4 linked regions of the Tamandua tetradactyla genome follow. The protein of the gene in region 3 purifies or fractionates together with the protein of the main gene of each other region. This does not show direct contact. Links are inferred from orthologs where the notes say so. Each region holds a gene or a part of one and is shown on either strand. Other genes may lie near its edges.

Region 1 (6,992 bases), on a different chromosome or scaffold from region 3:
TGCAATTCCACCTCGTTCCTTGATTTGCTGACATTTTACTGAAGATTTTGGTATCTCCATTAATGAGTGAGATTGGTCTGTAATTTTCTTTCTAGTGGTGTTCCTTCCTGGTTTTGTTATCAAAGTAATTCTGGCTGAAAAAGAGCTGAGGAGTGTTTTTTTCTTTTCCTATTATCTGGAAAAGTTAAAATTAAAATGAGCTGCACTTAGAAAGTTGGTGCAGCTTGCTTGTATAGTGTCATCCTTGACTTTTCTTTTCCTTTGTCATTTCACACCTAATCCATATACAAATTCTGTTCACTCTATCTTCAAATTAAATCCAGAATCCAATCACTTCTCTCCACCTCTACTGCTACCACCTTGGTTCAGGCCACCAACATCTATCTCTTGCCTGGATCACTGCAATAGCCTCCTAAGTGCTCTCATTGCTTCTATGTATCCATCATAATATATTAAACACGTGGGTCAGATCATGTCACTTCTCTGCTCAAATCCTCTACTGCATGCCCATTTCACTTGGAGTAAGAGCCATAGTCTTTCTAATGGCCTAAAAGGCCTGACATAGTCTGGTTACCCTGTTACACCTTTACACCCTGTTAATCTTTCTGTCCTCATCCCTGCTTCTCTCTCTTTTTTAATTTTTATTAATAAAACCAATCAACATACAACACGAACATCCTTAATGTATGAGCATTCCATACTTGCTGTGCACTCAGTGGCTCACAAAATCATCACACAGTTGTATACTCATCACTATGATCATTTCTCAGAACATTTATGTCACTCCAGAAAAAGAAAAAAGAAAAAAACTCATGCATGCCATACCCCTCACCCCTCCCTCTCATCGACTACCAGTATTTCCCTCCACTCAAATTCATTTCAACATTTGTTCCCCCCATTATTTATTTATTTTTAATCCATTTTTTTTTACTCATCTGTCCATACTGTAGATAAAAGGAGCATCAGAACAAGGCTTTCACAATCACACAGTCAACTTTGCAAAAGCTATATCATTATACAATCATCTTAAAGAAACATGGCTACTGGAACACAGCTCTACAGTTTCAGGCACTTCCCTCTAGCCTCTCTAATATACCTTAGACTAAAAAGGGGTTATCTATATAATGCGTAAGAATTACCTACAGGATAACCTCTCGACTCTATTTGAAATCTCTCAGCCACTGACTCTTTATTTTTGCTTCATTTCTCTTTTCCCCCTTTCAGTCGAGGTTTTCTCAATCCCTTGACACCGAGTCCCAGCTCATGCTAGGATTTCTGTTCCATACTGCCAGGGAGATTTACACCCCTGGGAGTCATGTCCCACATAGAGATGGGAAGGGCAGTGAGTTTGTTTGCTGTGTTGGCTGAGAGATGGGCCACATCTGAGCAACAAAAGAGGTTCTCTGGGGGTGACTCTTAGGCCTAATTTTAAGTAGGCTTAGTTATCCTCTGCAAGGATAACCTACTTCTCTCTCTTAACTCATTCAGTTCCAGACCACCTTGCTGTTCCTCAAACTCTTCGAGCATGTTCCCACCAATCTACAAGTCCAAAGGGCCTTTGGACTTGTAGATTGTGTTGTCTGGAATACCTTCCCACAGAAATCCATATGACTTGCTCCCTTAAAGATTTCACGTTTCTGCTCCAGTATTACCTTATCAGGTATATTTATATAAATTAGCAAACTTCTGCATCCCTTACCCCCTTAGCTTGATTTTGTTTTTCTTTTATATATTTATTTACTTATGGGCCTGAGTCCAGCCACAAGAATGTAAATACCAAGAAGGCATGGATTTTCTCTGTGTCTTCAGTAGGTAGAACAATGCCTGAAAACAACAGGTACTCAATATATACCTTTTGAATCAACAATGAATATTTTATTATGTCTGACCAGTTGCATGCCCGTCAACTTTTCTAGTTTTATTTCTGCACATCTTACTCTCTATCATTACCATTAAGAACACAGTACCTGGTCCATTGCCTTGTACATAACCATTGCTTAGTAAAAAAAAAAACATGTGAATGAATGTACATTCTGAGCTTCACATGTTTACTTAGCTCCCATCCTCCCTTTGGAGAACTTTTTCTTCCCATTGTTCCCTCTTTCCCCACTTCTATTCCTTTCTCTTTTCTATTTCAACCTTACTCATCCTCTTTTCTCTGTTCTTTCTAACCCGACTTCTTTAGTCTTCTTCCCTCCTTTTTTTTCTCTGAAGTCTCCTCTTTCCCTACTCAACCAATTATTCTCTCGTTTTTTTCCACTCACTCCTCTTTCTCTCACAGAAATATGAAACATCTGAATCAGAATTGGCTTTGAGATTCCATCATCTAATCTCTCACTTTGCAGAAACAGAAGAGATACCACAAGATGGCATGATTTGCTTTAAGGAAACAGCTAGTTTTCTTTCCTCCCTTTCTTAGAACAGGCTAGAATCAGATAAACTTATGTTTGGATTGATCTTAGCTCCACCAATCCTGGTGACCTTCAACAAATTACTTAACTTCCGTGATCCTCAGTGTCCTCACAGATTAAATGAGATATTAATATGCACCTCAAAGAGTCACTGTAAAGACTGAGGAGAAAATTGAACAAATAAAGCACCTGGCACATAATAGAACAAATGTTCGTTCTTTTCTCATTCTTTCTTCTTATATATTTTTTTGTTTCCCTCTTTAAAATAATTAAGATTGGTTTCTTTGTACTTTGAATATTTTACTATGCCTTGACCTTCCCCTCACTATTATGTTTCATCTCTTCCATTCTCCTCCTTGTGCATTCCTCCCTTCCCCTCTGCTGTTTCTCCTTCCCCTACGCCTGGTTCTCATTCTTCTATCATGAACTAAAGGGTGTAAACCATAAACACTGAGCTTGAAGTCCTTTCAGCTCTAACAGTCTACTAGCCCTATGTCTTTCTCTTAATTTCTTTTTTTTTCTTCCCCTTAGTCTTCTTTCCATTACTTACAAGTTCATTAAGTTCTCTGGGCCTCAGTTTTTCCATCTGGAAAATGGAGATAATCACTAGATTGTTGTAAAGATCAAGTGAGTTACGTAAAGGTCTCAGCCCAGTGCTTGGCACAAAAGCCTCCAACAGGCCGCTAATTTTCTTCTCATTTGACCTTCTGCAGACCTAAAATGAAACATAAAACACTATAGAAATATTAGGGTTTTTTTTTTTTCCTTCTCTCTCTCTAAAGTAACAGGTGACAGAAAAGACAGCTTTGGGTTTGAAAAGATCTGGGTTCCAGTCAAACCCATGAGTTCTGATGAGCTCAATTTCCTTATCTGTAAAATCAGAATAATAAAACATATGCCTTCCTCCAACCTAGGGCTTTTTCCTCCCCCGGAAATAATAATAGTAATAATAAGAGGTCAATTTATAGACAGCATCACTCCACAAGTACATGCTGCAGTCGCGGTAGAGGGCGTCCTGGCATTAGATTGGGGAGGCAGAACAGTTTTAAGGATTCACTGGGATAAAAATGTTTTAAACACCTGACCAACAGTAAGCACTCAATATATGTTAGCTATTCTTCTTTTCTCCTGATTCTCAAAAAATGAGTGGTTGAACTATCTAGGTTACCTCTGTCGCTAATGTTCTATTATTATTACTCCTTCCTCTATCCTTTTCGTTCCGCCTCCCCCATTTTTTTTTCCTCCTTCTCCCTCTTTCCTGCCATTACAACTGCCGTCTCGCGTCCAGCATCCGGGGAAGCCTGGGTCTCTAGGTCTCGGGCTGTTTACAACTCACACAAAGCCAACTCGGACGCGCCTGGGGCCAATAGTTCCGTCTGCGATTAGCGTCAGACGCTCTCCCACCAATAAAGTTTTATTGAATCAGAGCAGAAAAAAAAGACACCCGTCAGTCTTTCTCCAGCAGCCAATCAAAGAGTAGGATTCCTGCGTCCCTCACGCGAGCTTCAGTAGTGAGGAGGCTGGGACCGAGTTTGTCTCGCCAGATACCCGCGTCCTTAGAGCGGAAGTACGGCCGGAAGAAGGCCATAGAGTTTAGCAGCTAGAGCGACCCTGGAGGGAGGTGGCAGGAAAGGCGCAGAACAGCTGCCGGAGGTGACGGTGCGGCGGCCCCGCCCGATGCACTTGGAAGACGGAGCTTCCAGGTAGTGACCCGCAGAGTGTGACCTAGGGTACGACCGGGCAGTCGGCGGAAGCCTACGGTCTCTGAGCGGCCTCTTTAAGGGAGGGGGCGGAGCCACGTGTAAGGAGTGTGGGGGAGAGGTCACATGATCGGGGGCACGTGCGGGGCACGAGGGGAAGACTGAGGGAGTTCGTCGTCGTTGGGGTGGGCATCATGTGACACCCCTTCCCCCACTGTATCCTGTGTCTTGGGGCTCAGTGGGGTGCGTGTGGTGGCGCTTGGGGTTAGACCCAGGGGGTCGGGAAAGAGGGTGGACCTGGCATCCCTGTCTCAGCCATGCTGTGGTCAGATTGGGCGGTTTTTGGATTTCTAGATCCGAGTTCTAGACCAGTTAATCTCTGATTTCACATTGTAGTGGTGACTCAGTGCCTCAGATATCCAGCTCCTCCCCCTTTTGCTTCCCATCCTGCCATCGTTCACGGATGCCAGCTTCACATCCTCTTTCCTTGCAGCTCCGGACATCCTGAACCCAGATACCCCCAGCACAGTGCGGCCATGAGTGCAGAGGTGAAGGTGACAGGGCAGAACCAGGAGCAATTTTTACTCCTGGCCAAGTCAGCCAAGGGGGCAGCACTGGCCACACTGATCCACCAGGTGCTGGAGGCCCCTGGTGTCTACGTGTTTGGGGAACTGCTGGATATGCCCAATGTTAGAGAGGTGGGTTTTTGGCCTGAAAAGTCCACAGGGAAGCTTGGGGCTAAGTTTCAATTTGAGATGGAAGGACAAGGGTTCATTTTGCAACCCTAAAACCATTCAATTGAATAAGAATACTGTGACTAACTGGCACAAAAGAAAATAAGCAAGTGAACTTCTTAGTTTCCTTTGAAGATGAAGGCTCTGTAAAACCTGGTCATTATTTCTAAGTTCTCTCTGCTGTTTCCAGAAGCTTTCCACAAGTCTTTGGGGGAGGGGTCACTTTCTACCTTATCTGCTTTAAATAAATTAGCATATGGCACAAAGGAAGGAGGACAGGGCCTGCTAGTTTAACAAGTTCATTCCTTCCATTTACACTTATCCATAATCCCACTGGGTTCCTACAATAACAATATCATAACCATTTTCAAAAGAGAAAACTGAGCCCCTAAAATGAAGCTGACCTGATCAAAATGACATGATGATTAAGAGCTATTACGCTTGAGAAGATAGGCTGGAACACAGGTTTCCTGTTCCAAATGAAATACTTAGAAATAAAAATGTCTAAATATAAAAATTTCTTAGTCTTTGGGCATTACTCTGTGGTACAGGGAAAATTGTGGTTGCTTTCCTTTGTAGTAGAACAAAAGAGAATCAGTGTGAAGAAAAATAAGCATTATTAGGTGCCTATTTAAGAGAGACAACTCTGCTGGTAGTCTGGAAACACCAGAAAAGTATGAGACATGGTACTTACCCATTTGAAGCTTACATTCCAGTTGAAGATATAAGATGAATGAATATAAACCTATAAATCATTCAGTTAACAACTATTTGCTGAGAGAGCTATCTACATGCCTACCTTTGCTAGATCCCGAGTGAGAAACCACATCCATAGACTTGTTGAAAAGAAAGGTATTCTTTAGGTAACAACCTTAGGCAGAGATTGATTAAGTTCCAGGATGGGTGATCACTGTTAGGAGAAGGTAGAGATCTGGGTGAGTTGGCCTGGGTGATGCAAACTTCTGGCTGAGGTGGGTCTGAAGCACAGGCAACAAACTCAAGTGTCTGCCTTGGCCATATAGCCATTGGATGAGTGTGGTGGAGGCATGAGTCTGTGGTCAGTTGGGGAGTACAGCAGACTGTCTAAAGATACTCATATTCAGAAATATTAAACATAGTCTGAAGACCTATCAGTATAGTTTGTAATGTCTGATTTGTGTTTCTATCAGAGCACTTTGTGATTTTTTTTTTTGGTGGGGGGGGTGAGGGTTTATGGATGAGAAGACATTGTAAATTGGGGGAATAGCATAAACAAAGGCCTGGAGATAGAAATGAGTTCTCCCTGTGGGGACAGTGGTCAGAGAGGCAGAGAATTTCTGTTGGTAAGCTGGGTGAAGTCACGTTGCAGGAGAAAGATGGGGCCAAGGAATAGAGGTCAAAACAGGGCAAGGGTGGGAGGGAGCAGAGGGAAGCCCTCCCTGTCACCTCTTTTCCCTCATATTCTTGCAGCTGGCTGAGAGCGACTTTGCATCCACTTTCCGGCTACTCACAGTGTTTGCTTATGGGACATACGCTGACTACCTAGGTAACCGGTGGGGTTGAAACTTTGAAGGAGTGGAGTTGGGAGAAGGAAACTTTCCAGAGGGACTTAATTGAGAGAAATTCCTGGGATACCTTAGTTGGATCCCCTAAGTGCGCAGGGTCAGAGTCAAGACCTGGATTGGCATGGAAGACAAAAAAGAGAAAAATCGGGTAGGGGGTTAGGGCTTCCCACAAAACTAAAGTCAAGATTTTCTGCGCTTTGTCCTTTTTCCCTAGCTGAAGCCCGGAATCTTCCCCCACTCACAGAAGCTCAGAAGAATAAGCTTCGGCACCTATCAGTTGTCACCCTGGCTGCCAAAGTCAAGGTGAGTGGCAGTCCCCCCCAGTTGTAAGTCAGAAGTCTGTTCACAAGGGACCATCTTCAAGGATTTTGTACTGAGATAGCCTTTGAGCCAGCTGTCACTTCTTTGTGCCCCTTGCCTCCCAGAGGTCTGTATCTAATGCCATTACCTGCAACCTTTTAGGCTGAGTGTTATTCTCTTAGTTTTTGTTTTATTTTAATTTTCAATCAACTTAAATTCTGCATAAAACATCTTTTGTATTGGTAGAGTGGGTGCAGAGGCCCACACAGGCAAAAAAAGAAAGAGAGAAAGAAAACATCTTTT
Region 2 (7,324 bases), on a different chromosome or scaffold from region 3:
TCAGCTTCATTCACATCTCTAATTGAAGTCTGTTCTCTTTTTCAGCTTCTTTAACAATTGCTGCATGGAGTAATATTGACACTCAAAGCTGCAGAACTCCAATTCTGAGTCCCAGGTGTCATACAGTGCCAAAGTTCTGGGGCACTTCCAGATTATACACGAAGAACACAGCATCTCAGAATTTAGAGATAATAGGAAAACTCAGGAATAAATGTGACCACTGTAATAGCTTATAATCCAGGAAGCTTTATAATGAGCCTTATTGAACATTCAGTACTCCTTAATCATCCATTGCCTAATCTCTGCCCACTTTCTATCTCCAGGTAACCTATCTTCTTGAATTCAATTCTCAGAGTTTGCTTAGTAAATTCTTATTAGTGAGGACCCACAATATCTGTCCTTTCATTTCTGGCTTATTTTGCTCAACATAATGTCCTTAAGATTCGTTCATCTCAGATTCCTAGCTTTTTAAAAATTATTTTAGAGATATTTTGACACAACGTACAGTCGATCCAAAGTATACAATCAGTGGCTCACAGTATCATCACATAGTTGTGTATTCATCACCACAATCATTTTTAGAACATTTGCATCACTCCAGAAAAAGAAATAAAAAGAAAAACTCTATACATCTCATACCCCTTATCCTTCCCTCTCATTGATCACTAGTTTGTACTCTATCCAATTTCTTTTTATCCCTTATTCACCTCCCATTATTTATTTGTTTTTTGTCTATATTTTTTACTCATCTGTCCATACCCTGGATAAAGGTATAAAGGGAACATCAGCCACAAGGTTTTCATAATCACATGGTCACACTGTAAAAGCCATACGTAAAAAACACACTGTTCTACAATTGTCATCAAGAGTCAAGGCTAGGGTAATATAACTTATGTAGATAGCTTGGTTGAACAACATAAGTACATGGAATCTTGGGTAGGACATGAGATTTTGTTGGTTTGTCCAGAGTGATGCCCTGATGAATCCCCAAGTGATTTGATCAGTGAGCAGAAAAGTATTTGCAAAGCCCCTTTTGGGGAATGGTGAGAATGGGGGAAAATTCAACCTCCCCAAGTTGAATTCTTGATATTCTCACAAGCAGTGTGGACAACCAAAGCTATAGGCTGAGCCCCCAGTCTTGGGGTTTTTTCACATGAAACTTAAACCCACAAAGGATAGGTCAAGCCTACTTAAAATTAGGCCTAAGAGTCACCCCCAAGAGAACCTCTTTTGTTGCTCAGATGTGGTCTCTCTCTCCAGCCAACACAACAAGCAAAGTCACCACCCTCCCCCTGTCTACATGGGACACTCCCAGGGGTGTGGACCCTCCTGGCAACATGGGACAGAAATCCGAGAATAAGCTGAGACTCAGCATCAAGGGATTGAGAAAAACCGTAGAATGAGCTGAGACCCAGCATCAAGGGATTGAGAAAATCCTCTCAACCAAAAGGGGGAAGAGTGAAATGAGACAAAGTGTCAATGGCTGAGAGATTCCAGAGTTGAGAGGTTATCCTGGAGGTTATTCTTATGCATTAAGTAGATATCACCTTGTTATCCAAGAGGAAATGGAGAGGCTGGAGGGAACTGCCTGAAAATGTAGACCTGTGTTCCAGTAGCCATGTTTCTTGATGATGATTGTATAATGATATAGCTCTCACAGTGTGACTGTGTGATTGTGAAAACCTTGTGTCTTATGCTCCTTTTATCTACCTTGTCAACAGATGAGTAAAACATATGGAATAAAAATAAATAATAGGGGGAACAAACGTTAAAATAAATTTAGTTTGAAATGCTAGTGATCAATGAAAGGGAGGAGTAAGGGGTATGGTGTGTATGGTTTTTTTTTTTCTGTTTTCGTTTTATTTTTCTGTTGTCTTTTTATTTCTTTTTCTGAATTGATGCAAATGTTCTAAGAAATGATCATGATGCTGAATATGCAACTATGTGATGATATTGTGATTTACTGATTATATATATAGAATGGAATGATCACATATTAAGAATGTTTGTGTTTCTTTCCTGTAATTTTTTTAAAAAAATTAATTAAAAAATTAAAAAAAAAAAAAGAGTCAAGGCTAGGGGGTACAAGGGTAGTTCAGTGGTAGAATTCTTGCCTGCCATGCAGGAGACCAGGGTTCAATTCCTGGCCCATGCACTTCCAAAACAAATAAAACAGCAAACAAACAAAGAACAAAACCAACCTAAGAAACAAAAAAATTCAACAAATGGTGCTGCAATAAGGGGACACTCACATGGAAAAAGAATGAATTGTGACCCCCTCCATACAGCATACAAAACAGAAAAAAGAAAAAAAGAATCAAGACTACTGGAACGCTGTTTCAGGTATTATAAGGAATTATAGCTCTTCTAATACACTAAAAATTAAAAAGGGATATCTATATAATACATAACAATATCCTCCAGAATAACTTTTCACTCTATTTGAAATCTCTCAGCCACTGAAACTTTATCTTGTCTCATTTCTCTCTTCCCCCTTCCCCTTTTGGTCAAGAAGTCTTTCTCAATCCCATGATGTCAGGTCTCAGATCAACCCCGGGAGTCATGTCCCACATTGCTAGGGAGATTTACACTCCTGGGAGTCATGTCTCACCTAGGGGAGAGGCAGTGCGTTCATCTACTGAGTTGGGGATTCCTAGGTTTTTGACCTGAGCAATTGGATGGATGGTAATGCTTTAAAATGAGATGTGGAAACTTAGGAGATGGGAAGAAGCAGATTTGCATGAAGGAAAGGTGTGGAAATGACAGAGAAGAGAACCAAATATTCTATTTTGCCTACTGTCTAAGGTAAAAAACACTGAATAAGTAAGGAAATTGATTTTATTCAGGCTACTGCACTAGGGAAAGCACCCAGATTCAAGGATCAGAGTGCCTCGGTAGGGTGGTTTTGCCTTACACTTTAATATGGAGGAGTAGGCATGTTATAGGTATAAAATTCCATTTTACTAATGGAATTGCAATGGGGGGAGTATAGTGTCAGCCAGTCAACTGAACAAGCATGTGCCACCACCCACACGCCTGGTAAACTGTTTTCTACTTTTTGACTATGAATTTGCTCATTCTATTTCACATCAGTAGAATCATATCTTTTTGTGTGTGGATTATTTCACTCAACATGATGAATGCCTGGGGGCAGTGAGGAGGAAAAGAGGCTTTTTTTTTTACTTTTAAAATCCCCCAACATTTAATTATAAAAAATTATTTTAAAAAACCAAACAAAAACTGTAGAAAAAATTGACCTTTAAGTGTCCTCCTCATGTTACCATTCTGCTACGACGTTACAGGTATAGAGGCTCTGAATTGTTGTTCTGCCACTTAGTAAATGTTCAGTTTTAATCAGGTTCTCTCTATTAACTCATTTGGTGTAAATGCGATATTAACAAGACTTGTAAATGACCTTTCTGCTTCTATTCATGCACAGTACTCAGGATGGTAAGACGGGAGTTGATGGTGTCATTACTCTGTTCAAAACCCAGCAATGATTCCCCATCTCACCCAGAAGAACAGCCAGTTCTTCCAGTTTCCTACAAGTTCCTATATGCTCTTAGTCCTTAATTTGCTTTCTCTGTTCTGGACACTTTAATTTGTTCCCTGTACAGTCTGGACAACCTTCCACCTCAGGTATATTCCTCTGCTTTTCCCTATGGAATGCTTTCTCACATTTCGCATGGCCAGCTCCCTCAACTCCTTTAAGTGGTTGCTCAATTGCCGACTTCTCAGGGAGAACTACATGGACTACTACACTTAAAATTGCAAGTTTCATCCCTTTTCTAGGCTTTACTTCATAACTCTCACTTCTTTTTAACATATTAATGTATTAATGAATACTGTTTGTAAACATGCATAATACAATACCACGTATACTGAAGGTTCTTTATATAAAATTAACATACTGCTCCCCTGGCCAGTAGTTTGTGATCTGAGCGGATAGAGCTTGGGGGCTTATATTTTCGAATTTTCTAGGTCAATGTGTCGTGATGAAATCCAAGATTAATGCTCATTCCCTCAACAATCTTTTTCACAATAAAAGTGTGCCAGGCACTCTTGAATAAAGCAATAGCTATCACTTTTGTGCATTTATTCATGCATTCATGTATTCAACAAATATTTACTGAGCTCCTTCTACGTGCCAGTCCTTAATGAAGACAGTTCTAAGCATTTCAAGATCCTGTATTCCCCTTTAGGTATGAAAAAAAAGGTCGGATCTCGCCAGCAGAGGGCGTTGCTCCCGTCCTCTCCGCTGCCTCCTGGTCTTCCGATGCTCCCAGGCTCGCTCCCGAGCGCGCACCCGCCCGCCGCATCACGTGATGTGGCCGCGGACCCGACCTGCCAGGCCTAAGCAGCGCTAAATTGGTTGACGGTGGCTGCTGTTGGTGCAATCTTAAAGGCTAATTCGAAGGAGTGGGGCAGGCTCGAGGAGTCGATGCGTCCTCCTTCACTTCAGGTCGGCTCCCGTCACTTTCTCCCCATTTGCCTTTCCGGCCTCCCCGAGTGTTTGCATGAACTCTTCCGTGTGGGGAAGCTCCGGTGACCATGTAGGGGTAAAAAGTGAAGCAGCCCTCGGTGCTTGGGACGAGGTCAGGTCTCAGCACGCCACCCCCGCGCCCACCACACCCCGGGTTCGGGCCCAAGGGCCTATCGATCCCTGGTGGAAACTCCGGCCTCCTGTTGTGGCCTGGTCGGGAGCGCCACGAAATCCCGCGTCGTCTCGCGAGAATTTAAGTTGAAGGAACATGGCGACGTCTAATCTGTTAAAGGTAAGACCTTACTCCATTCTGGGGTTTATTCCGTGACCACCAAATTCATCTCTTTGGAAAAGGCTTGGTTCTGGTTCAGCAGCGAAACGTGGAGCATTCTGGGGTTGTTCACCGGAAGGGAGGCAGCGACGGTTGCCGCAGAGAAGCGGAGCACTGGTCTTTGGCCTTGGGGTCGAGAGGCTCTGGTTGTCTCCCCCGCCGGCAGCCGGCAGAGTGAAAGCCCCGCCGCAGGGCTAGCGGAGAGCGATGCTTTCAGAGGACCAGCTCTGGCCGGATGGAACGGGTGAATGGGCGAGTTGTGCTCTAACGGATTGGGCCTTTAGTACTTTGGGGGGCGGGGGGCGGGGGTCTTAGTTTCTGTCGAAGCCAGAGTCTAAGACGGTCTCAGTTTTTTCGAAGCGAGAGTACGAGACACATAAAAGGAAAATCCAAGAAATTACCGCCTAACAGGTTTCAACTACTTGACCCCTATTTCCCCAATTTCTGTTCTGCATGAAATTTCAAGTCAGACCTAACAGTGTTTCCCATCCCAACCCCTTCCTCCCTTTTCTGCACGCTACACCTTCCCTCCTACTTCACCCCCTCCCAATTTTTGAGTTCATATTATTCCTGTTTTTCCTTAAGAAACTGCTTCCCACTCCCACTCCCACTCCATTGCAGCACCTAACCAGGTGAAAACTGATGAAGTGTCACTTCAGGGCTTAGGGAAGTTACCTTATCAAAGAAAACATTTGAAGATGCTTTTCTATATTTGAATAGCAAGGGAAATCTAGGCCGAAACCTCTACCATCAGTTAAAAAGTTTGGAGGAGAATTAGGTAGACATGGCCCCAGTCTTGTTCTGGGTGTTTGTGGTAGGAACCTTTTACCTTAAAAATATTGATTGGAATGGGGGTAGTGATCAGCTTAGGGAAAATAAATACAATGAATCGTCTCTTCTTCACTCAGACATATCATCATGCCTGCAGGCAGTTTTGATGCATAATAGAACATATTAAAATATACTATAACTTCACCATCATGTTCCAGTCTACTTAACTGCCTACTAGGTGGGATTGTCTGATAAAATGAAGATGTCATTTTACTAATTTAAGAGGCAGTATATCTTTTTTTTTAAAAAAGGGTAAGGGTCTGGAGCTACACTGCTTGAATATCTGTCACTTAAATCTGTGACTTTGGACAAGTTTCTTAATCTCTCTGTGCCTGAGTTTTTCTCATTTCCATACCTGTAAGAAAGTTCACAAGTCTCCTCATCTAAACTCAGCCTATACCTTGCTTCGCCTCAAACTTCTGCCGTTTTCTCTCTTTCCATTCATCATCACAGGTCTTGGAAAAGCAACCCCCTCTTGCTGCCATTATAATTCTTTGCCTCTTTCCTTAACTTGCTGTAACTTGGCTCCCACTCAAGCCCCCGTTATATTGAAGCTGTTGGTCTTAAAAGCACTAGAAATCTCCTGATTACCAGATTAGATTTTTCTCTGATCCAGTCATCCTTCATTTGTACTGGTGACTACTTCTGCTTCTTTTTTTTTGGTTTTTATGACGTTATTCTTTACTTGTTCTACTGTCTCTCAAATCCCTTGTGTTTTTCCCTGCCCTGCTTTGTGTGTCCCTTGCCCACTTATAATTATTTTTCAGGATTTGATCTTCAACCCTTTCTGTTTGTGCTTTTTTCCTGGGACGATCTTAACTCCCATGATTTCACTATTTTTATCTCTTAACTCTTATCTTAGTTTTAGAGTGAACACAGTTATGACCATATCACTTTCCTGCTCATAACTTTTGATGGTTTAAATTCTTTGAGATCTTTACAGCTTGGTCTTCTTCTCACTAATAACTAATTCTTATTTTCTCTCTTACACACACACACACACACACACACACACAACTATCAGGATAGTTACTTGTTGGTTCTCTAGCTTGCCCAGGTCTTAATGATTTTTTTATCTTTGCTGTTTCTTCTGCCAGGAATGCTCCTCACCGCTCCAGTGTTTGCCTGTTAAAATCCAATTTATCTATCAAGACCATCCCAGATACCTCAGCTAGAATGGTTACCTACTCTGCACAACCGTAGCGCTGTATCAGTCTCTTCTAGCACTTATGTTGTGCCTTATTTATTAGCGGTAGGATCTGTTTACATACCTAAATCCCTTTCCAGAGTGTAAACGCTATTAGTGCAGGGACTTGATTTTATCCATCTGTTGATGTCTTTCTACACAGACTGTTGTCACTCATGGTAGGTGCTCTGTAAATGAGAAGTAAATGATTAAAAAGACAAGTCTAGTGCAATAATGTACCTAGATGCTTAGTGGATGGGTATCGATTGGTTAAAAGACTTTTTAAATTTAATTCTCTTTCCAATTAGATACAGAAAAGGGGAGAGAGAAAAGGAGGGGGATGTAAAACCAACCCATCAAGAGAATCCTAGACTTTTCAACTGCAATTTAAAGCTCATTACTTTTCTCAGTGGAAAAGTTTTTATCCTTTGAGAGGAAAGGATGGACACAAAGAAACAATTCAAATTGTCTGTAGAAGATATTCATTATTAAA
Region 3 (7,006 bases):
CTGTTTGCCATGTGCCCTTCCAGCTGAGAGAGAAGCCCGAAGCCTTGGGCCTTCACAATTGAGAGAGAAATCCTGAAGTTCATCGGCCTTCCTGAACCAAGGTATCTTTCCCTGGATGCCTTTGATTGGACATTTCTATAGACTTGTTTCAATTGGGACATTTTCTCGGCCTTAGAGCTGTAAACTAGCAACTTATTAAATTCCCGTTTTAAAAGCCATTCTGTTTCTGGTATACTGCATTCTGGCAGCCAGCAAACTAGAGCAGGGAGGAAAGAGGTAAACCAGGACAGCGTTTCTCACTTCCCATCCATCCACAGATCTCTCCATCTAATGAAAGTTTCTCAATCTTTTTCTCCTATTAGATGAAATCCACATGAGCAACTTATCATAGGGACACAAATCCCCCTAAACATGTCTAAGAAGTAAATACTGTGTCGCTGCAGGGAGACCAAAAGGGTGGGGGTCAGAGAGGAAGTAAGTTTATAAAAGCTTTTCGAAGTCTATTAAGCAACTATTAATGGCAAGTACAGATGACAGTCGCAAAAATTACATAGACTATGGGTTTTGTAAAATTGCCGAAACACTTGCTCAAATATCTTTCTCTTTCACTCCAGAAAGCATATCAGAATGTAAGTCAGAGTGATGTTAAAATATCTGAAATCTGTCAAATTCGTAATCAACTGCATTTGTCTAAAGGTTGATTTGATAAAAATTGTACTGAAAGCACACCTGTTCCTTCCCAGAGATTACTAGTGCTGCAAGAGACCCAAATTTCATCCTCGGGAGCATTTCAGCATATATTTACCACCAGAAAGACAGCATCCTCCTAGCCAGGAGAATGATATACAGTTAAGAAAGCAACATCTTACTGGTTTCCCCCAGGATTCCTTTTTTTTTTTTCTTTTTTGGTAACGTATACAAAACATAAGTTCCACTTTAATAACTTTCAATATACAATCAGTAGTATTAATTATATTAATGTGGATCCCATCACACCACCCATTACCTAAAACTTTCCAGGATTCCTTTTTGCTTGTAGACAGGACATGCCAGTACGTTTATAAATAAAACCTCCTCAGAATAACTGGCTTTTGCAAACTCTTCTTGATCGTTATTAGGTGTATGGAAACTATGAGGTTTTCTTTAAAATTTAGTCTCTCTAGACATTCAAGCTACCTTCTCAATCCTATAATCTTTGGAGCAAGACTCTCAAAAGATGCACTATTGCTAACATTGCTAACGTTTACTGAAAACTGGATTGAAATCTCAGAAAGTACCCTAAATTGAAGCAATTAGAAATAAAAGGTTCTAGTTCAAGAAGCCAGGCAATTACAGGAACAGAACAGAATAACAAAAGCACCTTCTTCATTCATCTGTGGTGAAGATTAAATAAATTATAACTTGCGAAGCAAAGCTCCGGGAAGAGCGCGGGGCGCACAAGCCCTCAACAAACGTTAACCATTAACCAGCACTACGGGAAAGGAAAGGCGCCGCCAAAGGCTAGGTAGAGCTGTGGAGGCCGGGTCCCCCAAGAAGGAAGGAGTGCAGGAAGGAGGACCCCGTGCGTCTAGGACACCGGGCTGGCTTCCTCCCTACGAAGCTTCGATGCGTTGTCAGGCAACAGAGTCACCATAACACCCGTGGCGGCCGCCGGGAAACCGAGACCGCCGCATGCGTGCACCGCCCCAGCCCGGCAACCGCCACAAACCCGCCCGCAGGGTTGACCCCCCAGCCCGGCAGCCATGAGACCCCTGCCCGCAGGGAACCTCCGGTCACCTAACTCCTCCAGCCCTGCAGCCGAGGGACCCAGTCCGCAGGGAACCCCATACATCGACACTTGCACTGCCCGCATCCGGTTACCCCTGTCGGCAGACAGCTTCCACCCACAGGACCCGTGTACCGCCCCCAACCCCAGCCGTCAGACCCCAGTCCGCAAAGAACCCCACCCGCGTAACCCTTGCACTGACCCAGGCTCGGCTGCCACAGGGACTCTCCCTTACCCCCTCCCCGGGTCCATGAAACCCAATCCCCGCCCCGGGGCCGCGAATCCAGCCCTGATCCCCTTACTCCCGGGCCACACCCTGTCGGGCCCTATCCCCACCCCGTGCTGGCGGACTCTCACCCAAGAGGATAAACTCCGTTTGGGGTCCTCACAATGTTCCAACTAGGAGCTTTCGTGTCCAGGAACGGAGGCGGCAGTCGCTCGGCGCCGGAGAACAGTGACAGGCCGCTGGCCCGGCTCCGCCTCTCTGGCGGAGATCTCCGCCCGCCTTCACCAACGGCCGGGTGCGGCCCCGCCCCACTGCCGTCGCGGCCGATAGATCACGCGGCCGGGAGCGCCCTCTGCAGCCGGGAGGCCGCACAGCTGCACAGCTGCACAAGGGCACCCCCGCCCCGGGGCCCGCAGGCGGCGCCTGCAGCCCAGCCGGAGACAGTCCGCCCCGGGGCTGTTAAACCGTGGGATCCACTTCCCAGGTTAGATTCCAGCCCCTCCAGCCTCTCAGGCACCGGCTAGCTCAAGAACTGGGTCAAAGCTAGGAGAAAAAAAAAAAGGTAAGGGGAAGCCGTGAAAGGAAAACTGTGTACATACTTCTGGGCATTGCTCTTAGCCCAGCAATCTAGTCTAATTATGTCCTGGGTTTTTAATACCATTTCAACAGGTTATTCATTTCACCCCAATACTGAATAGCCATAGCTATCTTTGGGGGGAGGGGAGGAGGCAGAGGATTTCTAGCTTCCTAAGAATGTGGAACTAAGGGTCCTTTCCTAAATTACTTTGTGTCTTTAAATGCAGATTTTCTTCGGTTGGAAGTCAATGTCAAAACAGCAGGTGACTGAGTGTGAATTTGATCCTTCCAGTGTTTTTTAAGTATATGCCAGGCACCATACTAGGAGTGGAGGCTACAATACAGTGTTTTGCACTCAAGCTTACGGTGGAAATAAAATCTTCAAGTAAACAAATATGTTATTACAATGCAATGTAATACAGTCATAGAAGCACGTACAGAGACTGAGACAACATGGAAGAAATGATTACTAGAGAGAGGAGGGAGTCAAGAAAGGTTTCACAGTGGAGATCTCCGAGCTGTATTTTAAAAATTAATAAGAACTCTCTGGCAGAAAAGTTGAGGAAGAGAATTTCAGGAATTGCTAATCGCATATGCAGTCAAAATAAATATACTGCAGGAAGAGCAAATATTCAGGAGCGACTAAAGAGAGAAATGAAGCTGGGGAGACGCGAAGGGACCAGATTATGATGAGCTTTGACACTACTCAATTTTGTTCAGCAAAAAATTTATTAAACATCTACTCTGCTAGGTGTTAGGGACAAAACAAGACAGATCTGGTCCCTGCGTCTTAGAATTTTGAATCCAGCGGGAGTGTTGGCGGAGGCTGACCCAAACAAGTAAACTAACAAATGAAATAAACATTTTATTGTTAGAAACCTAAAGGTTGCTGAGATGTAATCCCTCGGGGTCAGGGGTAGTTTCACAGAATGATGTTGAAGATTTTATAGTAACTTATTATAAAAACTGAATACCAAGAAAATAAAATTAAATTTAAAAAGCAAAAACTGGGTATAGACACTTCAGGACAGTAACTAGCTCAAAACATATAAATACAGCTGTTAGATTTTACAAATATGCAAGAGGTATTTCGCAGTCCGCGTATCTCCAAAGCCGCCCCGAACGCAGAAAACGCCGATCTGAAGGCGCTGAGCCAAACTGCCGCCAACTCCCTTACATTTACGCACGCGCAGTGAGTTGTCTAGCAGGAAAATGGGATGCCATTTGTATCTTCCTTCTCACTGCCATCCCGAACTACTTATATCTCAATTTCTCCACAGGCACCCTGATTTTAAGCTTTCAACGAACCTATCTTATTTGAGGTCCCTTACACCCAGACAAAAACTACTACTTTCCCCATCATAGCCTGAGACTCTATCCATTTTAAATATGGCGGAGGCCGAGCCTGCGCAGTACAAACAAAGAAGGCTAATTCCAGATTCTGACAAACCGTTAACGTGCCCTTCTTCCGGTGCAGAAGGTCGTACCATTCTCATACCCAATTACCTTGTTTGGCCTAATTCACATGTATAATTCTCAGGACAGGATGTTTTCATTTCAGCCGCAAGAAGATTCCTCTTTCCCTAGGTCTTCCTGTTACTTCTGTTTATATCGTCACTCCTCAGAAGTACCCCTGTCATCTCCGAATGGTCTGTACCACCTTCACCTCCGGTTCTAGGTGTCATGGCTGCTTTAAGAGTCCTGTAAGAGTTTGCACCGGTGGTGGGGAGGGTCCGAAGCCCACACCCGGAGGCCTAACGGGTAAAGTTGCGTTAGGTTGTGGCGGGGACAGCTTCAACTCATCGGCTATGGCAGCGTCCGGGAGCGGCATGGCCCAGAAAACCTGGGAATTGGCCAACAACATGCAGGAAGCCCAGAGTATCGATGAAATCTACAAATACGATAAGAAACAGCAACAGGAAATCCTGGCGGCGAAGCCCTGGACTAAGGAGTGAGGAGGTCCCTGGCGAGACGCAGGGGAGGGAAGGGGTGGCGGGAGTTTAAGAGGCTTGGGGGAGTGGGAGTTGAAGAATGTGGAGAGCTTGGCACTGTCTTTTCCTGGGCTAGGAAGGAGAGGAGTATGAGAGATTTTGTCTGCCTTTACCTCCGCAACTAGAACCCAAATCCCTCTCTGAGGGTCTGCGGCGACTCCTAAATTCTGTCTCCTTAATCCATTTGCCTACAGGAGATGAAAGGGAGTAAAGAAGTGGCGGTGATAGGGGTTATCATCTCTCAACATCCGTATTGTCATTAATGCCGCACACTCTGCCTTGAAGCACGAGGGGATCTACACTATGGCTGGTCCTTCAGCTAATCCTGGACTGGGGACTGCAGTCGTCTTCAGGACTCTCAGATAGCAATAAGCCATCTTTTAGAGATGTATAAAAAAAAGATGTAAAAAAAAGACTACCAGTCTTTTAACTGCTGGTAGTTATGTCATGGACATACAGAGGCTTTATCCAGTCTCCCAAAATAATGGTACACCACTTCAGATAAGCCAAAAATTATATTAATAGAGCTTAAGGCTCTTTGCCCCTTAGCAAAATATTTCTTTCCCTGGAAACGATGACAAGTCTAGAGTTCTTTTCATCATAACATTTATTCTTTACTGAGAACAGACTTTGTTAGAGAAAGTAAAAAGAGCACGGGAAGGCACTGTCTGATGGAGAGGAAGAAAGACAGGAACACCAACAGAAACCATATTTTATCTGCTCAGAGTTTTAGACAAGCTGACTTTAACTGCCAGAATTCAGATTCAGCAATGTTTATTGAGAACTTAATACTGGAATACCATATAATCTTTTCCTGACAGTCTTGTACTGTATTTTCATTCCTTTTTTGCAATTATAAAACAGGCAAATACATGAAAGGCACACCTCATGATTGCACTGAGGCAGTGAACTTTTAAATAAGCAATAGACCTAAGATCAATTCTCCCAGCTGTCACTAACTGTGTGATTGACCTTGCGTCCCCATTTTTTTGTCTCTGAAATGGAGATAAGACTTACCTCTTGTGGATGTCAGACAGATTAGATGAGATTTTGGTATTAAAAGGGTTTAGAATGCATGTAATAGGATCACAATAGTTGTATCTTCTTTTCTTTTCCCCAGTAAATAGAGGAGCCAAAATTTTAATTCATGTGCCTGAATCCTAAGACCAAATCTTCATATTTTTCAGCTTGTAACTGAAATCTGTCAAAACTTGATAATTAAGCCTGGATGCTTTTAGATGACCTGTGAGATGTCATCTAAAAATGACTTTTCATAGAATTTGGCCATTCTATACAGACTGTTTAGGTTGCCTTGTTATTTGCTTACTACTTATAGTAGACTATGCATTTAATGTTGATGTAGTCTACTGATTATTTACTTTATTTAGTCCTGACAACAACCTTATGAAATATTCCTATTTACAGAAAAGCAAGCTAAAGAACAGACATTAAGTGGTTGTCCTGAGGCCATAGTTAGTAAGTGGCAGTGCCAGGATTCAAACATAGTCGGATATCAGAGCCCATGTTCTCAACCATTAGGACAGAAGGCTGATCCTGAGAATAGTTGGTTAGACACAACCATTCTGCCAGAGTCAAAATCAGAGACTCAGTAATGCTGAAATTAATAGAGAAAAAGTCTATTAAGCTGATCTCTTTTTCACTTGAATAACATAGTTAAAAATTCTTTCAGACTTTGCCTCCCCTAAGTGGAAATAACTGTTCAGAACTATGACATGTTTATTATTTTTGGCACCCTGCAGGAACTCTGTCCTATCCTATTTTTTCTTTCCCCAAATTTACACTCTGTCTCCCCTTCCATCACTGTAAATTCCTTCAATATATAGTCCTTCACTTCACCAAAAAAAATACCTTTTGAAATTGTTCTTTATATAAATTTAATTACACCATGTTTTTGTCTTGTAGTCACCATTACTTTAAGTACTGCAAAATCTCAGCATTGGCTCTACTGAAAATGGTGATGCATGCCAGATCAGGAGGAAACCTGGAAGTAATGGGTTTAATGCTAGGAAAGGTGGATGGTGAGACCATGATCATTATGGACAGTTTTGCTTTGCCTGTGGAGGGCACTGAAACTCGAGTTAATGCTCAGGCTGCTGCATATGAATACATGGCTGCGTATATAGAGAATGCCAAACAGGTAAAACCATTGTTTCTTAAAGTTCATAACCAGAAGTTTCAAGGTGACTTTTGACTTTCCAAACCTAAAACTGTTCTCTTTACGCTGAAGTTCATAATTAAGTTTTTTGCAACAATTTCTTAATGTATAGGAGATTAAAAATTTGGAATTTTTTCATTCAGATTCTCTCACTACCAGATGTGTGTTTAAAATGAAAAGTTTGGATGGAAACAACTTAAATGTTCCTGACTATAAAACTGGTTAAATAAATTATGATACATCTATACAATGGTTTTTCTAGCCTGCCTTTA
Region 4 (6,864 bases), on a different chromosome or scaffold from region 3:
ATTTATTTTGTTTATAGCCTGACTCCCCCCTCACCAGAATGCAATCTCTAAGAGGGCAAGGATTTTTGTGTTTTTTCACTGATAGCTCCCCAGGGCTTAGAAGAGGACTTGGCACATAGTGGGAACTCATAGATGCTGATGGAATGAATAAGTAAACCAGCGCAGTAGATTTAAAATGAATAATTTATGGAATTAAGTATAAATTAAAATGGGACGGTGTAAAGATCATTTAATATGTTAATCAGCATAATAATATGGTACAGGGTAAAGAACACAAGATGAGAGGCAATGGAAGCACTAGCTGGCACAGTCTACGCTCAGCAGCCTTCCTGATCTTTTGTTTCTCTTCCCTCTCCCCTCCTTTTGTCCTACCCTGCAATTCTATACTGCGATCCTACTGAATTATGAGCAGTTCTCTAAATGTCCCTTGCTGCCTCTCCCTGGCCTGCAATGCACTGCTCTGCGGGTACCCTTTACTCTCCTCCTTTCCCCCTCTCTTTCCCTTTGGACTGAACTTAGAGGTCACCACCCCTGAGAAGCCTTCCTTGAATTGGCCTAGGTTAGGTCCCCTCTTTTGTGCTCACTCACAATGGCAACCCATGTTGCCATAATGCATTGAGGGATGTGGGGGAGGGGCTCTGAGACCAAACCTGAATGGTTCTGGATCCTCAATGACTGGCAGGCATCAGAAGGAAAGCAGTTATTCTAATAACTGCCAGTGGATATTTGTTTGCTAAGGCTTTAAGGGTGGAAGGGAATCGTGTTGAGAAGCTTCTTTCCAGGAGGAATCACGTTGTTCAGTCCTCTTAGTCATGTAGATATGTCAAGTTATCAATTAATTTTCCTTGAGGTAGCTCCCCATTTTGGTGAAATAATACGAATGTAAATACTTCAGACACATTCTGTTTTGTGTGTGTGTGTGTGTGTGTGTGTGTGTGTGTGTGTGTGTGTGTGTGTGGGAGGGGGGTACCACTTGAAGGTTTTCCTGTGTGTGTGTACTCTCATTCTTTTTGGATGTTTAGGGATTTTGATTTCTCCCACCTGGACCAGAGAGTTGGGTTTTGGGCTCACGGGATTGGGGAAGAGAAGAGATGAGAGAAACAACTGATATGCCTAAGAGGGGGTTTCTACCAATAGGACTACAAACATGATTTAGCGATGGACAGTACAGAAATCCCTATGTAGGGACCTCTAGAACCATGACCTGTTTAAAGAGTTGCTTTTCTGTTCTGCATCAGAGTTGCCTGGTGATAGCTTTAGTTTTTTGCTTTCGCTAAGGAACTGGAAGGAGAGTCACGTTCATGAACAGGGAAGAAGTAGATGGGCTGGAGAAATGTGGAGAGATGTTGACAAACCCGAAGGCCAGAGGCAATAGGAGAGAAGCCAAGAGGAGGCATTCCAAGGGAGAAGTGACCAGCGATGACCAAGATGTGTAAGCATTAGCCAGGAATCCTCTAACATTCATGAAGGTACCAATTTACCGTTAGTCATACAACAGAAGGGCTCAAGTTATTCTATTTGGCTGTTAGAACATGAACTTAAAAGGCTGGAAAATTGGGGACTCTGAGGTTACACGGTCTGTGATAGGGAACAGGAGTTTGCTGAAGATATTACTCTTTGGTGCCCAGAGATTGGGGCTAGTTTCATGAAAAGGAATTATCAAGGTAACTACCACATATTGTGGATTTCTGAAAAGCCTCAACTTCCGTTTTTTTAAGAAAAAAAAAGGAAATGGGAGGGAACATACGGTATCCTATAATCCTCAGTATCTCTGATAAGACCCTTCCTCCATCACTACCACTCCCAGTGCTTAACTTAGAGTATGCCTCTGGATAGCCACTGCTGCTGAATAGATAGTGGATTTGAGGAATGTGTATTCTCAAATACTTAGGCTAGAGGGCTAGGGAAAGATAGCTTCCATCTGTTCGGTGGGGCTCTACCAGTGTGAAAGGATGTACTTAAAGTATTTAGGAGCCCCCACTGCTTTCCGGAAATTGGTGGGGAAAGTGATTGGAGACAGGAAATACCTAGAAGGGTTTATTTAAATGATATGGTTTTACTATTCTTGGTCTGTCCTACGTACGACACCCTTCTGCAAAACACTTTTTCTTTCAAATGAGAGTGTGAGCAGCATCATTGATTTAAGGATAGCTTTTGGGGAGTGGTGGTCTGTACATTTTAAATGTAGAGATTGATTGTAAGACACATCCCAGTTTCAGAAAACAGTCAAGTTTCAAAATAAAGAGCATTTTCAACTATATGATGATATTAAGAATTACTGATTGTACATGTAGAATGGAATGATTTCTAAATGTTTTGTTATTTTTTTAATTAATAAAAAAATAAAGCGCATTTTAAGTCACAGTGTAATGCCATGTATGTAATGTCATAATAAGGGGTACACACTGACCACCATGGCTCATGGCATCACTCGGTATCCTTAAACTTGCTCCAAGGACCACAATCATCCTTCGCAGCTCCTACTTGAATTAGGAACAGAAGCATCTCTTCTATTAGGTCAATGACACACTATGTCATGCATAGCTCAATATGTATTTCTGTCAAAAACTAATTTACAAAGAGTAAAAATTCAACGCTTTATTTTAACGTCCAAGATGAAGGTGTGAAAATTCAAATGTCCACAAAGTATACAATTTTTAAGTTTACTGTATGGTTTACAGTGGTGGTTTTTTTCTAAAGGCTTATTTTATGGTTTAAATCGGAGATTTTACTTTCCAGTTTTCCAAACGATTAAGGTGCTCCTCTTTATTTTTCCCACGAAGTAAGTAGTCTACTTCAGCAAAACAGTACACAGTGTGCTATTTTAGCCTCTTGGGAAACATGGCATGTTAAAGTTTGCTAGAAAGAGATGATTGCTTTTAGCTTCACATCTCATTGAAAGTTCATCTGGATAGTGGTCTGATGAGAAAATGGCGGCGGGGGCTGAGGGTGGGGGAAACAGAAATACTATGATACCTCAGTTTAGGATCACTAACAGGCAATGGATACCCTAATTTAAGGCTAATTTGCAGGACCACCGGCCTCCAACTGTTTATTTTTGTTATCGCCTCTTTTTCCACAGGGATTTCACAATCATACATTGAAAAACAGTTCTATGCTGTAATTTTATATTTCTAGATCAGGAAAATGTGATATTCAGAAAGCATTAACCAGAATTCGATAGCTGATTGGTTGAAAACATCACTGTCCTCTGAATGTTCTTGCCATCTTATTCTGACGCAAATAGATACCGAGCAGCTTTTTTAGATCCGGCATTTCTGTGTGGTGCAGACATGCCATTTTCTATGAATTTTCCCACCTCTGGGAAATGTATGTCGGAAACGTGTAATTGTCGTGTAATAAACTAAGTGAACCTATGACGCAACAATCCACTGCAAGTTGCCTTACAAAAATGATGTCATTTCGCGCAGATGTAGTCACTTTAATAACGCAGTTATTTGTAAAGCTCCCTCCACGTTGTCCCCGGTTCCCCAACCCCCTCCGTGTCGAAGATGCAGACAGACATTTTCCAAGCTTCCCAACTCTCACTTGGTTGCGGGCGGGGCGCACCGCAGTGGCTCGGCCCATCGCTCGTGCAGGCGGCCAGAGACCGCTGCCAGGGCACGAGCCCAGCCGAGCATCCTTTGCCCCGACGGCGGGGCCGCGACGACGGCAAGGCACCGGGCTGGGCCCGCGGCTGCAGCCCTGGCCCGCCTAATTTCCTCGGCTGGGGACCGCCGTCTGGGCGGGCCACTAGCCGGGACTTGGCGGGCCGGACCGCGCGGGACGCCGCGGGCGCGGGACAGCCCTCCCCCAACCCGGCTCCCGCTCCCGCGGCGCCGGAAGTGACGTGAGCCCAGCCGGCGCTGGGCTGAAAGATGGCGGTACTGGCGCTCGACCAGGGGCAAGGTAAACACCCGCTGGGCTGCGGCCCCCGCGCCCGCGCTCAGCGCCTGGGCCCCCTGGAGGCGCCGGCGGGGGCCGAAGGCGCCACCCCTGCCCACTCGCCACCACCCCTCCCCGGTTCCCAGCCTAGCCTCCGCCCTCCCCGCGTGGCGGACTTCCGCGACGCGAGGACAGAGCACAGAGCCCCCTCTTGGACGGCCCCGCCTCCCTCGGGCGGCTCCCGTGGCCCGCAGGGGGCGCGCGGCCTGGAGCGGCCCCTGGCTCGTGGCCTCACACGCCCCGCCCCTTGCCCGCCCCTTTCCCGCCTTCCTCCACCCCCGGCGTGGGTGATCGTGAGGCTCGGCGCGCTTCGGAGCAGACGCTTGGAGACGCCGTCGTCGACGCCGCCACCGTCTTGCTTCAGCCGCTGCCCCCGACCCCCCAACCCTCTCCTCCGCCCGCAACCCCGACTCAGCCCTCCCTCCGAGCCCTGCTAGGCCCTCGGCGTTGGCGAGGCTGGGCCCGGCCCCGACGCCGCGCCGCCTCTCGCCGAGTCCGACCGGTTCGACTTGCGACTCAGCGCTGTCTTCTTTCCCAGGACTGGTTCCGAGGGGGCCGCAGGCGCGCAGACTCGCCCCTCGCGGGAGCGCCCGGGTCCAACCCGGGAGCGGCTCCTTGTAGAGGTGCGAGGAGCCTGCCTTGTGCCATCCCGGAGCTCCGACCATCTACCGAGCGTCCCGTTTCTTCCTGATGCTTGCTGCCGTCCAGTAGAGGCTGGACAGGACCCCCGAGGTGCGTACCCGCCCCTGCACGGCCGGCCGGGGTGGGGGGGTGGGGAGCACGAGCTTCGTTCGCGGTCCCGTGCTAGGCACGGATTCGGTGGCCTCTGCGGAGTCTCACCCAGATCCTCACAGACCTGAGTCTAAAAACATTTGGTAGACGCCCGTACCTAATCTGTCTTTTGAGTTTACTTAAATTGTTTGAAATTTAATTTTTTTTCAGAGAGAGAGAGAGAGAGAGAGAGAAAAGAAGCATAATTCAGCCATTTTTTGCAGCACACAGCTGCAGGTACCATGATTATTTTTTCCCTAATCCGTTTCGCTCCTTTAAAAATTCTATTTCTGCCTGAAATAAAACTATGCGAAATTCGAGGCATGAAACCTGGAATCAGAAGGTCTGGGTTCGACCGTGTGATTCTAAGAAAACCCCTTACAGAGTCTGGGTTTCCTTATCTATGAAATCTAGTCAGTAGTATCCACATCACAGGGTAGTGAGGACTATATGAGGTCATACGTGTGAAAATAATCTCTAGCCATAAAACGTTATAAAAATGCAAGGCAATTTTCAAAGTAATCTTTGCCAGAGTGTTTAATGGTGTAGTGGCTAACTGTTGCTGCTTTAAAAAAAAATCTATGTTATAACTATACGCAATAAGGACAGAAGAGCAAAGCATTACTGTGAATCGACTAGATATGTATTAGTCTCTTTGCTTTGCCTTCCACCTATGAAATGTTAACTGCTTATTTAAATAACGGTATTCTTTAATTCAAATTTAACATGACTAGTGCTTTGCTGTTCATCTTTCTAGGCCACTCTTGCCGTTTTTCTTACTCAGAATATTTATTTAGCACCTTACATTTGTCTAGTTTTTTATATTTTCCGATGTAATTTCACCTTTGTTAATCTGATTAAATTCTAATTTAGAAAATGCTTTTTAGGTGTACTCTAATTCTATTGGCTGTCTTTCTTATCTAGGGAACAGGATGCCTGAATATCTCTACTGATTTTGAAAGTTGTTTTTGAAGAGCTTTTAAATGCATTCATTTTTGTAATTCTTAATAAATCTGGAAATGTGTAAAGATTGCAACTTTTTGGCACTTAATGTTTATATAATTGAATTCTCAAATTGTAATTATTGCAGTACTTAGTAGGTGCTTAGATTCACAGTTAATCAGTGGTAAAGGATATTAATTTGCTCCCTTTATTGTTGATTAACTTGGGGAGAAAACAGGATAGTAAATATTTCTGGTTTGAAAATTGAGTTTATTTGCAGGATTTTATATTACATATGTGTAATAGATCAGTATGGACTCATTCTGTACTTGGATGTCAAAAATGTAGCATCATTTGACTTTAAAAAATGGTGCACAAAATGTGAAAGAGAACATCTTTTAATATACCATTAATTTTAGCTAACATGGTTTTCTGAGTAGTTAGACGTTTTATTAAATTTATAATTCTCTAGTCCAATGCTAGTTGTCTTTTGGACCACACATTTGTTAAAGACAGAATAATGTAAGGCAGGCAGGATTAAAATAGCAAAAGGAAGAGCCTCCTTTCATTAATATGGTAGCTTTTATACATTGATTTATCACTTGTTTTGAAGATAAAATTTTGGCAAATCACTGCTTTATTAGGAATTTCAAGGTTTGACCTTCTCTCTGCCTCGATTTGGGTTATCTGGGGCTAAAGTCTTGGAACCAGGACCAGCTCTATGGGTGTTCATAAGGGTCCCACGTTGGATTAATAACCCGCATTTAAAACTGGCATCACACAATAAAAAGGTGAATGGTGAAGTTACTCATAATTTAAACAATACTGGTAATTTAAAATGTTATTTTTTTTTTTACTTTAAAATGACATTAACCAATTAAAGACATCATTACAAGTTGAGCAATACCACTGAAGAAAGGAAAAACTCCGTATTTTAGTACTTTTAATGACATTTTTTCCCTCCTTTTTGAACAAGGGGCCCATGTTTTGTTTTTGCTTTGGACCCTGCAAATTATTTAGCTGACCTTACTTGGAACAGTTTTTAAGCTTGCCTTTTCCTCTTATAAATGTTTTGAGAATGAATGATGTTAAATGTGAGGAGAATGAATCTATACCTTATGGGAGGGTGTAATAATGTATTATATATTTTCTCTGAATCGGAGTGCTGTAGGAAAGAGAGATGAAAGTTATTGATGAAACAGTATA

What was found.
Region 1: the proteins of COPS5 (region 3) and COPS7A purify together in Homo sapiens (affinity purification with mass spectrometry; 19 studies listed by BioGRID and IntAct, counting the BioPlex papers as one, with this or other methods). This does not show direct contact. The link is inferred for Tamandua tetradactyla from reciprocal best matches to the Homo sapiens genes COPS5 and COPS7A.
Region 2: the proteins of COPS5 (region 3) and CUL5 purify together in Homo sapiens (affinity purification with western blotting; 6 studies listed by BioGRID and IntAct, with this or other methods). This does not show direct contact. The link is inferred for Tamandua tetradactyla from reciprocal best matches to the Homo sapiens genes COPS5 and CUL5.
Region 4: the proteins of COPS5 (region 3) and KLHL15 purify together in Homo sapiens (affinity purification with mass spectrometry; 3 studies listed by BioGRID and IntAct, with this or other methods). This does not show direct contact. The link is inferred for Tamandua tetradactyla from reciprocal best matches to the Homo sapiens genes COPS5 and KLHL15.

What each region holds. Positions count from the first base shown.
Region 1 is NC_135333.1:69,009,229-69,016,220, forward strand, and holds the start of COPS7A (COP9 signalosome complex subunit 7a), read left to right. Parts: upstream 1-3,976; 5' UTR 3,977-4,088; coding exon 4,089-4,114; exon of another isoform or gene 4,115-4,212; intron 4,213-4,224; exon of another isoform or gene 4,225-4,354; intron 4,355-4,604; coding exon 4,605-4,809; intron 4,810-6,294; coding exon 6,295-6,370; intron 6,371-6,603; coding exon 6,604-6,692; intron 6,693-6,992.
Region 2 is NC_135334.1:33,919,273-33,926,596, reverse strand, and holds the start of CUL5 (cullin-5), read left to right. Parts: upstream 1-4,298; 5' UTR 4,299-4,751; coding exon 4,752-4,775; intron 4,776-7,324. UniProt on the Homo sapiens protein: Core component of multiple cullin-5-RING E3 ubiquitin-protein ligase complexes (ECS complexes, also named CRL5 complexes), which mediate the ubiquitination and subsequent proteasomal degradation of target proteins.
Region 3 is NC_135332.1:110,682,549-110,689,554, reverse strand, and holds the start of COPS5 (COP9 signalosome complex subunit 5), read left to right. Parts: upstream 1-4,004; 5' UTR 4,005-4,213; coding exon 4,214-4,518; intron 4,519-6,481; coding exon 6,482-6,716; intron 6,717-7,006. UniProt on the Homo sapiens protein: Probable protease subunit of the COP9 signalosome complex (CSN), a complex involved in various cellular and developmental processes.
Region 4 is NC_135353.1:150,252,109-150,258,972, forward strand, and holds the start of KLHL15 (kelch-like protein 15), read left to right. Parts: upstream 1-3,844; 5' UTR 3,845-3,909; intron 3,910-4,259; exon of another isoform or gene 4,260-4,483; 5' UTR 4,484-4,677; intron 4,678-4,887; 5' UTR 4,888-4,953; intron 4,954-6,864. UniProt on the Homo sapiens protein: Substrate-specific adapter for CUL3 E3 ubiquitin-protein ligase complex.